4 linked regions of the Saccharomyces cerevisiae S288C genome follow. The gene in region 2 interacts genetically with the main gene of each other region. Each region holds a gene or a part of one and is shown on either strand. Other genes may lie near its edges.

What was found.
Region 1: mutations in EMI1 (region 2) and AIM4 together harm fitness more than expected from each alone (negative genetic interaction), as found in Saccharomyces cerevisiae (2 studies listed by BioGRID).
Region 3: mutations in EMI1 (region 2) and COX7 together harm fitness more than expected from each alone (negative genetic interaction), as found in Saccharomyces cerevisiae (2 studies listed by BioGRID).
Region 4: mutations in EMI1 (region 2) and PLN1 together harm fitness more than expected from each alone (negative genetic interaction), as found in Saccharomyces cerevisiae (2 studies listed by BioGRID).

The regions. Positions count from the first base shown.
Region 1 is NC_001134.8:607,970-610,915, reverse strand, and holds AIM4 (Aim4p), read right to left. Parts: upstream 879-2,946; coding exon 507-878; downstream 1-506. Other genes in the region: MSI1 (Msi1p), read left to right, coding at 1-302; RNA polymerase II mediator complex subunit MED8, read left to right, coding at 1,163-1,834; RIM2 (Rim2p), read right to left, coding at 2,131-2,946.
Region 2 is NC_001136.10:1,470,000-1,472,832, reverse strand, and holds EMI1 (Emi1p), read left to right. Parts: upstream 1-1,769; coding exon 1,770-2,333; downstream 2,334-2,833. Other genes in the region: YDR514C (uncharacterized protein), read left to right, coding at 1-1,285; dithiol glutaredoxin GRX2, read right to left, coding at 1,385-1,816; SDH7 (Sdh7p), read right to left, coding at 2,415-2,816. UniProt on the Saccharomyces cerevisiae protein: Involved in sporulation. Required for the full activation of the early meiotic inducer IME1.
Region 3 is NC_001145.3:778,428-780,733, forward strand, and holds COX7 (cytochrome c oxidase subunit VII), read right to left. Parts: upstream 701-2,306; coding exon 518-700; downstream 1-517. Other genes in the region: GFD1 (Gfd1p), read left to right, coding at 1-140; PET111 (Pet111p), read right to left, coding at 1,202-2,306. UniProt on the Saccharomyces cerevisiae protein: Component of the cytochrome c oxidase, the last enzyme in the mitochondrial electron transport chain which drives oxidative phosphorylation.
Region 4 is NC_001143.9:523,689-526,678, reverse strand, and holds PLN1 (Pln1p), read left to right. Parts: upstream 1-1,604; coding exon 1,605-2,456; downstream 2,457-2,990. Other genes in the region: histone chaperone NAP1, read left to right, coding at 39-1,292; YKR045C (uncharacterized protein), read left to right, coding at 2,710-2,990.

The sequences.
Region 1 (2,946 bases), on a different chromosome or scaffold from region 2:
TATGGGATATTAGAAACATGAACAAAAGCCCAATCGCTACCATGGAGCACGGTACTTCCGTTTCAACTTTAGAATGGAGTCCAAATTTCGATACTGTATTGGCAACGGCTGGCCAAGAAGATGGGTTAGTCAAGCTATGGGATACCTCCTGCGAAGAAACTATATTTACCCATGGTGGTCATATGCTCGGTGTGAACGACATTTCGTGGGACGCTCATGACCCTTGGTTAATGTGCAGTGTGGCAAATGATAATTCAGTTCACATATGGAAACCTGCAGGAAACCTTGTTGGACATTCGTGACCTAAACGTTCCTTGAAGCCAGGCATGCTAATGGCTCCTGTCCCTATTACATATTCAACCATTTGATAGACGAATATACAAACATAAATAGAGTTTATAAAATATGCTCAAGACTTGCTACAATAAACACTACGCTCAGACTTCATGCTGATTTCAATATTGTATTTCGAAGAAAGTGGTTGCTCATTTATTACCTTTGAACTTTCACTTTGGTATTTTGATATTCTCGAGGTTTCCCAGTCTGGCTTGAACTTCAGTTCGCCTTTTGAAAGTGGCAGGATTATAAGGTATATTTCTGTAATGTGATGGTGCAGTGCCTCTTGGATTCCAGTCTTTATCGTAAAATATACTTCTTATACCGAGTTCACCGTTCTCTTTTTCACGACCCAGTGAGTGTCCAGAATCAGCTTCTAAATGACCTTTTGATACAGTCTGCAGAAGCTGTCCCTCTTTATTTCTCTCTAGGTTTCTAGAAAGTGATTCAACTTGATTTCGTACCTTTTTCTTATTTGGGCGTTGGACCTTGGAAACCCTTCTTTCTGTTAAGTTATTACTTGGGTCCTTCTTTTGATCCATTAAGCTCAAACGTATATAGTATAAAATGATGGAATGCGAGAACTAAAAGGATTGGATGACTTTGAAGGTAATATATTTCCTTGATATTTGAAAATAATCAAAAAAATTTGCTGAAGGCCTTTGCAAAGTGTCTAAAAGTACGTTCTGTTCAAAAAAGTAAGGAAACTCAATATACAAAAATTGCCTTTTCGTCAAAGTTAAGGATTTTAATATTGAAATATTTCATCGATATAAGAGAACCCCGAGCAAGAAGAACAAAAGAAAAACATAAAGCAACGTGGAATATGTCACAATCTACTGCATCACTGGTACCAGAGGGCAATCAAGGCTCCCTCCAAGAAGATGTTAGTTTTGATTTCAATGGTGTACCTGGCCAGGCTTTAGATGCCGTGCGCATGCGTTTGGCTCAATTAACTCATTCATTGAGGAGAATCAGAGACGAAATGTCCAAAGCCGAACTGCCACAATGGTATACACTCCAATCACAACTGAATGTCACATTATCCCAGCTCGTTTCTGTAACCTCCACTCTACAACATTTCCAAGAAACTTTAGACTCTACAGTGGTTTACCCTTTGCCTAAATTCCCAACCACCTCTCATGAAAGTTTGGTCACTACCCTTTTGAGGAAGAAGAATATTCCTGAAGTGGACGAATGGATGAAATATGTTAGGGAAACATCTGGAGTAACTACAGCCTTGCTAAAGGATGAAGAAATAGAAAAGCTGCTGCAACAGGACAGAGAAATAACGAATTGGGCGCGCACTACGTTTAGAAACGAATATGGAAAGCACGATTTCAAAAATGAAGAATCCCTAAGCGAAGAACACGCTTCACTTCTAGTACGAGATAGCAAACCTTCGAAACCTTTCAATGTGGATGATGTTCTAAAGTTCACCTTCACAGGGGAAAAGCCCATTATTACGGGATCTACTTCAACATCATCTAGTAATTGAATTTTACTTCACGCTACTGATATTTTAAAACATTTTATTGTTACTAGTGACCTGGTAAAAATATTTACAAGTATAAAAGGACCAATTTACTGAATGAAGTAAATAAGGATCATTGATATGTTACGATAAATAATGCAAAGTAAAGGAGAAGAAACGAAGGGGTCCAAACCTTAGTAGGTTAGCTTTCTATAAACTTTGACAGGCTTTATATCCTTACAAAATGCACTTTTTTCATACTTTTTTGTTAGAGTATGTCTTGGCCCTAAAGTGAATTTAGAGTTTTTTAGATTTCAAGGCTACGATAGTAGCCTTATAACAATTTCCCATGTACCAAACATAATTATACTGTTCGGAACTGTTCTCATCAAATGCGGGGTCAACCCACTATACATTGAAAAGAGTCCCTCTTCTTTAATTATAACTTTGAAACTTTGTACTAAACCTGTATACTTTCGTTTACCATTTTCCTTGGGCGTTTGTCTCAATCTCGTCCTGACAACTTCGTGCGGATATGTTGCTATACTAGCCACAAATTTTGCAAGACCAGCGCTTCCTGATCTTTGACACCACTCCTTGACTTTCTCTGATGTGCTTTTTGTACCTTCGGCTTGATATCCAAATTTCTCAATAGACCTTTCCTTTATTAACCTCTTCATTTGTTCATATAATAGCCATTGAAGTATACCTTCAACAGAACCCAAATAAGAGGCACTCAACCCTTTGTACAAGCCAGTGAAACCCTCATTTCTTATAACACTTTTTAAGCAATCCCAAGAGTTCTTGTACTGTCGGACCGATGTTTTCCCAGCTTTATCAAGCTGTACTCTTGTTTTAATCAACCAAATAGGATTGGTTGCCGTCGCCGTTGCCCAACCTGCGGTTGCAGCAGCCATCAGATGAATCATAGGTGTTTCTTGGCCATTATTGAACGCTTTAGCATACATATCTTTAGTAGTTCCATAGGTAAAAAAATTAATACTTCTTGCTGGAATAACCCCGACTAAATTGGGGCCCAAACCCTTAAACAAGCTTCTAAAACCCTCTTGTTTGTACACATTGCCTATGATTCCCAGTGTTTCCTTGAAATGGGTTCCTGCTTGAATGACATAATT
Region 2 (2,833 bases):
AGGGGGCGTGGGACTGTATAAGAGTTCAAGTAGCAAGTTGATGAATAAACTAGGAAGACAAAAGACATGGATAAATGAGTTTGAACATTTTAATTCTCTGCACGAAATTGCATATACCCCTAACATTGCGTTAAGTAGTGAAATCCAAAAATATTTAAAGGCATTGGAAACAAACTATCGGTCCATCTATGAGAAAAGTTCAGAATTACTGGATAAGAAGCTGGAAGAAATTGACAAGAAATGGATAGAGAAAAACGGGTGTATACCTGATGCATCTAAAGACGATGTGGAGAAAAATCTAAGAAAGCAATATTTAGCAGATGTACAGGACGTAAAAAACGAACATATACCTGTGATGAATTGTGAACCTGGTGGGTCTCAGTTCAAGTATCTCTGTAAAACTATTGAGTTATTATCATCCAACAAGACAATTTGTTTTGCCATCGATGTAGAGGCATTTGAATTTGATACAGACATTGTTACAGAGATTGGCATCGCCATATATGATCCAAGAGAAAACATTTATTCCTTGATGCCGATTATAAGAAGTTATCATTTAATTGTTGCTGAAGCGTTACCGTTAAGAAACAAGAAATTCGTATGCGACTTTAAAGACTGCTTTTTACTTGGAGAAAGTCTTGTATTACCATTGGAACAATGTGTAGAGTTCATTCAGTCGTTGATTAATTTCTATATGAAATGTGAGACGGACCAAGATACAACCTGGGAAAGAGCGTTTGTGGGTCATGCTATAGCGGGGGATATTAAGTGGCTGAAGAAAATTGGGGTCCATGTACCTGAATTGGATAATGAACTTACCAAACCGGAGGACTCAACGGAGAGCAAAGGTGTTAGAAAACATGTTAAGATGCTTGACACAGAGAAAATTTATAGCATGTGTTATGGCAAGAAGGGTAGCAGTTTAGGTAAACTACTAAGGCTTTTTCACTTGCCACATGCCTTCTTACATAACGCAGGCAATGATGCATATTACACGTTGCTCCTGATGCTGAAGTTAGGAGATTATAACTTTAGAAAGCAAATTGGGGCAGATGATTTAGAAACAATGGGATATAGGATAAGAGAATGGTTTAAGCGTGAGGCGGACGAACCCAAAATTTTGCCAATGTCGTACGTGCTAAGTGTGATGAATGCCAATAATAGCAAACCGAAAGTTGATGATAAGGGAAGAAAGAAGCCGAGGGATCTTGTACCTCAGACGGAATTTAGCGGGTCTCATTGGTTTCAAAATGCACGCGCAGCCTTCAAAAGTACTCTTGTGTGAATCTAGCTAGAAGTTTTGTAGGTATATGTGATTTAAGATATAGATAATAAAAGATATATATATGTAAATATTATGAAGGGGATATTAGCGTAATTTAAACTATTGAAATACCGGCTTCAATATTTCAGCTAACTTGCCATTTTTCTTCAAAGTTTCCAAATCGCTGTTACCACCAATGTGCTTGCCATTGATGTATACGTTAGGTACAGTTTTTTGGCCCGAGATTTCTTCTAAAGCGTCTTGAATCTCTGAGCCATTGCTCATTTCATCTAATTCCAACACAAGGGCCTTGGATTTGGGAACGTTCAATTCTTGGAAGAGGGTAGACAAAGTAGCTTTACAGTAAGGGCAGTATGTCTTTGCTGCAACAAACACTTCCTTTTGGCCAATCAGATCCTTTACGTGAGCAACTGTTTCCTGGGATACCATTTTTGGAGTAGATAAAAATCTTTTAGCAATAATTCTTGTGGCAAACAACGTGATAATGATAATAACAATTAAATTCGAGTCGAAGGAAAAATTGGTCTCCATGAAACAATATATAACAGTAGTTGGAGTGTCCGTTAATCAAGAGGGCACCTTTTCTTGGCGTCCTGGGACTTTTTATATGAAAATTCATGAAGAAAGTGCGGCGGGCCCCTTTGCGAAGGGGGCCGAAATATCGGATCTTAGTAATAGTTCTGCTATTGGATGTGGTATTAGCATAAATCAAGAGGGAGGCGATGGTTCTATTAGGGTAAAAGAGAGCAGCTTGAGGAAGAAACAGGAAAGGATGAGTACAAAATATCCGACAACGATGAGTTGCCGAGAGGCATTTGATCAACTGACGAGTTGCTATTCGATTGGAGGGCAATTTAGAAGCTATTACAGATATGGAGATTTTACATCATGTGACAAGCAGGTGTCCAAATTCAAGTTTTGTATTATCCACGGCAATGACCCTGTGAAAGTGCAGGAATGGTATAAAGATCAGGTTTCCAACAATAAGGCATTGGAAAATACCAGTGGGGTTATATGGCAGGAGAGGGAGACCACTGCAAATAAGTGAGATTTTTAGCTTTTTTTTTTTAGCATGTGTACTATATAGTATATGGATTTCTTATTTACAAGCGCAATAAAAAGACGAACACTAATCCTTGTTGTTCCGCTTCACGTCCTTACTTGATTCTATTTCATTGTCTTGGTGAAGTTTCTGTGTTTCCTTCATCAATTCATACAGTTGAACTGTTTGCTCAGGGGATAGTTTCTCCAGGGTTTCCGAAGATAAAGTGGCATCTTTCCATTTACCGTTGGAAATCATGTGGAGATAATCTTGCCAGGAAGCTAAAAAGCCGACTATATGCAACGGGTTATCGATATCTTTGTGCAACTTGAACTCGTTTCGCACGTATTGGTCACCCATCTCCCTTTGGGGACCAGGTAGCAGCTTATGCTGCCTTAGTATCCTTCTGTAGAGAACCAAAGGTGGAAGTAAAAGCTGGCTGTTATGGGTTGCAAATCTAACCGAACGATATATGAGCTTGTTGTTCATGGTGAATGAAGACGGGA
Region 3 (2,306 bases), on a different chromosome or scaffold from region 2:
TATTGCAAAAGACTCATCACAAGAATCAACAGCAACAAGTGTTGATGGATTTTCTGAACGATGAAGGGAGCTCCAACTGGGTTGACGATGATGAAGAGGAGCTTATCCTTCAACGTTTGAAGACCTCTTTGAAAATATGATCCCTCCCATCACATGGACACTTTTAAGCACGTTTTGCTTGAAGAGACATTAGTTTACACCATTATAATTGTTTAATAAATACTAGACATACTTCAAGTGAGAAAATCAATCACACCTTTTTCAATGATTAGCAAATCTTTATTGCCAGGCCTAACTGAAACGATTTATTACTGCGCAAGAAAACAAAGATGGAAAAGGCTATGCTAGTTCGATTAGTTGTTTCCTTATTCTTTAGAATATTATATATGTATATATAAATAAATGGCTTTCATCTTATTTCGAATAAAAATGTTTTGGGTGATGTGTATTGAGCATACACACTTAATATCAAAGAACAATTATAAAGATGCTATGAACGGATGTTATTTTTACCTAACTATGCCTTCTTGGCTTTGATACCTCTAATAGCATTTGGAATGTATAGAAGTGGTGTAACGACGGCTACCGCAAAAATAGCATAAAATGGATACAGGTATAAAGCTGACCTTGGATGTCTCCACCATAGAGGTTTAGTGGAAGATTGGAAGATTTTCTGTAGTTGAATAACTTTATTAGCCATTATTTATTATTGTTTTGCTTTCTGTACTTGTTGGTTTAGAATCTTATATCGAGTTCTACTATTCATGGGATGAATAAATAATATCATCTTTTATTTCTATCCGCCTTTTCAAACCTGCCCCTACCAGGCCGGATTTCTCGGACGATGCGCGGCGTAGCCAATCAAGTACTGCCTTTTTTTTTTTTTGCTGACACTATATGTATACGTGCATATAATCAAACAATAAAGCAATTGTAAGCGTCAGCAATTCTAGCTGTACTAAGATCGTAGTGATTATATGCGCTTATATTTACATGGTATGAAGAATAAAATTTGAATAAATAAATAAACGTACTCTTTACGAGTACAAATCTCAAAACTAAAAGAAAAAAAGGGTTACATCTTGTTTCCAAATAGCGTCTATAGAAATGTAGGGTATAAGTTGATGCAAAGGTTTTTAGCGGTGTGTATGACACACAAATATTTACACGTGAGAGAAAGGAAGGTAAATAACTGAAAAGATTACTCCTCCTCCTTTTTATTCTCTTCAAAAAGCTTCATTTTCCTTTCATTTTGCTCCAACTTTAATAGTGAAATCTCTTCATCAAACCATTCTTTTAAGAAAAGTGTTAACTTTCTCATATTCTCAAGCCCCTGGTATTTATAGTCCACATATCTAAGTACTAACTCGTCAATGCGATCCTTTATCTCCTTGTTATCAATGGAAGCAGCAGTTGAAATGTAAGCAGGCCTTTTCTCAAAATATTTCATAAAGCCTTTGATTTGTCTAATGCAACCTGGAGTAATCAGGCTTGCCCTATGATTACAATTCCAGTCTTTTAAAATCCTACTAAACCGTTCGCTTTCATGCATTCTTGACGCCAACTTTAAAGATGTCATGTAATACATCATCCACTGTTTGTTATTTGAAGTATCCAAATTTTTTCTAGCTTGTGAAATTAGGTAACATGCATATTTGAAATCACGGGTGTGGAAACATATTTGAGTAAGTTGTAAATAGTTTTGAACTGAAAGCTCCTTTTGATGTACTCGTTCAAATTCCTTCAGTTTGAATTCCAGTTCTTTTAAATGTTCAGCAGACAACTTTTCAAAAGATCTATAATTAGAAATGATCTCCCATTTCAACCATAATATATCGACTTTTAGTGGGATATAGCGGAATCTGGTCCTTAATATCACATCAACTACACGTGCCAAACCAGTTAAAGAGTTTCTCAAGCATAATGCCAAAACGGAATACAAAAATGAAAATTGAGGCGCAATGCCCTCCTTCAAACTATTCGAAATCACCAATTCTGCTCCATATACATCATTGTGAGAAACTTTTTTCTTGAACTCTTCAAACCTTTCAAAATCAACCGCGTTGAAACCAGATAACGAAGAGTCTTCTCCTCCATTGATCTTTCTCGTATGGATATGGGCATTTTCTTGTAAAAATGTGTACACCCAAGTGAGACATTTGCTGTATTGGCTCCTTTTTAGAGTCACAAGTAGGTCATTTGTAATTTCTTTTGCCAGCATTGGATAAACATTTACGGCACATGACCATAATTGTTGAATAAATGCGGGCCGTAATCGCGTTTTACCATCAGTGGTTTTAACTACA
Region 4 (2,990 bases), on a different chromosome or scaffold from region 2:
TAGTGAGCCCAGTGGGACCAAGAGCAAAGCGCAAGATCATGTCAGACCCTATCAGAACGAAACCCAAGTCGTCGATGCAAATCGACAACGCCCCTACGCCTCACAATACCCCAGCATCGGTTCTGAATCCGAGCTATTTGAAAAACGGCAACCCAGTTAGGGCCCAGGCACAGGAGCAGGATGACAAGATCGGCACCATCAACGAGGAGGACATCTTGGCTAACCAACCCCTGTTGTTACAGTCCATCCAGGACAGACTTGGCTCGCTGGTGGGCCAGGACAGCGGGTATGTGGGGGGTCTTCCCAAGAACGTTAAGGAAAAGCTGCTGAGCTTGAAGACTTTACAAAGCGAGCTATTCGAAGTTGAAAAGGAATTTCAGGTGGAGATGTTTGAGCTAGAGAACAAGTTTCTGCAGAAGTACAAGCCCATTTGGGAGCAGCGGTCCAGGATCATTTCAGGACAAGAGCAACCCAAGCCGGAACAGATCGCAAAGGGCCAAGAGATTGTGGAGTCACTCAATGAGACGGAGTTGTTGGTGGACGAAGAAGAGAAGGCCCAAAATGATTCCGAGGAGGAACAGGTGAAGGGAATTCCCTCATTCTGGCTAACCGCATTAGAGAACTTGCCCATCGTTTGCGACACGATCACTGACCGCGATGCGGAAGTTCTGGAGTACCTGCAAGATATTGGTCTGGAATACTTGACGGATGGTAGACCCGGTTTCAAGCTGTTGTTCAGATTTGATTCTTCCGCCAACCCATTCTTCACCAACGACATTCTGTGCAAGACCTACTTCTACCAGAAGGAGCTCGGTTACTCCGGGGACTTTATCTACGACCACGCAGAAGGCTGCGAGATCAGTTGGAAGGACAACGCCCACAACGTCACTGTGGACCTAGAAATGCGCAAGCAGAGAAACAAGACCACCAAGCAGGTGAGGACCATCGAGAAGATCACTCCCATAGAATCCTTTTTCAACTTCTTCGACCCTCCCAAGATCCAAAACGAAGACCAAGACGAGGAGTTGGAGGAAGACCTCGAGGAACGTCTAGCTTTAGACTACTCCATCGGGGAACAACTTAAGGACAAGCTAATTCCTAGAGCCGTGGACTGGTTTACCGGCGCAGCCTTGGAATTCGAGTTCGAGGAGGACGAAGAAGAAGCGGACGAGGACGAAGACGAAGAAGAAGATGATGATCACGGCTTGGAGGATGACGACGGGGAATCTGCCGAAGAGCAAGACGATTTTGCTGGCAGGCCGGAACAGGCTCCTGAATGCAAGCAGTCATAATCCCAACGCACTTCGCAAGAGTGGTCATAACCGTATTCATATATTTATATACATATGTATACATACATATATAGATATATATATGTATATACATGTAAGTGTGTAAGCTGAAATATATGTTAAAGCGCATGTAACTAAGACGACAATAATAATAATAATAATGATAATAATAGCCTAGATTTTCTCCGCCGTGGGGGATGATCGTATTCTTTCGGATTTAATAATATAGCAGCAAGGGTTATAAAAGGAAAGATAACGGAATGTATCGGTAATCATTAACCATCACTCACTCTCCAGAACCGTAGCGTAATTATGTCTGAATCATCTATTTCTTCTTCTAAACCATCTGTGGAATTGCCACAAGCAACCTGGTCGCATCTGCAAAGATACCCAGCTTTATCCAAGTTTATTAAATATGCGGAATCTCTGCCACCTGTGGAGAGATTGATTTCCTTCAACCTCGTTGTTTTGGGATCTGTGAACCAGTGGGTTTCCGAATCGTCCAGCTCTCCTCGTCTGGTGAAGCAAGTTGTTGCTGCTGGGAAGGAAGGGGCCTTCAAGTTGGACGAGTTAGTTAACCTCTTGGTGTTCAAGGAGGGTGTCGACGGCTTGCTGTACAATTGGAAATCACATTCCAACACGCCAGGGATCTGGCTGGTGTGGTTCTTCGTCGACTACGTCGCCAACATTTCTAATACTCTGTTGAGGGAGTTCCTGATCAAGCCATTGCACTTGCAAGGTTCTACCGCATCGAAGGAGATCGGCTCTTCCGGTGAGGAGAACAAGGTCACTGATGCTTCTTCTTTGCCCCACGTGGCAGAGTTGTCTTCAACGACCAGAGGTATGTCGCAGGAGATCCAGTCCAAGGTCAAGTCGAACTATATCGACCCAACCAAGGACCTGGCTAAAGAAAAGTACGACGCCATAGTGAAGCCCACAACTGACAAGTTGCAGTCTGTGTACATCGACCCAACAAAGACTAAGCTTAACGAAACCTACCAACGCTTCACCACTGTCTATGAAAACAATCTAAGTAAATCTGAAAGCGTCCCTAAAGCCATTGTATCCACCGGGTTGGACTTGGGCAATGCCACCATTGAGAAGCTAAAGGCCTCAAGAGAAGACCAAACCAATTCTAAGCCCGCGGCTGTGTCGACCAATTAGTAATTTGGTTTTGCGCTAATCGTGCGCCTGATTTTTTTTCCTGCCACTCTTATATAGTTATTTGTTATTATTCTATTATTTCATCTATTGTTTGCTAGCTATTATGTACGTTGCTGTTTGAGCACTATATACAATTGAATACCAAAGAAAAAATTATAAAAACGAAAAAAAAAAAAAAAAAAAAAAATTTGGTTATAGCTCGATCAAGAGACAATAAAAGTGAATATACATGGTGCCAAGGGAAAGTCCTAGCATGTCAAACAGTCATCATACATCCCAGGGAAGAAGAAACAAACTTTCAGTGTGGGTTAAAAAAATAATAAACACCACTACCACAACTAACGCATCGGTCTCGAGCAGTAAACCAAGACGCGGCACTAGGGCTGGCCCCACAAGAGTTAAGCGTGCTGAGTTGGATCCGGATGGAACAACCATCAGTTCGTCGTTGCGACCATTGGTTGATCGAAATTCGTTGCATTCGAGCGAATCCGATGACGAAGGAGACCGTCGAGTGGCATGGGATGAACCACCAAC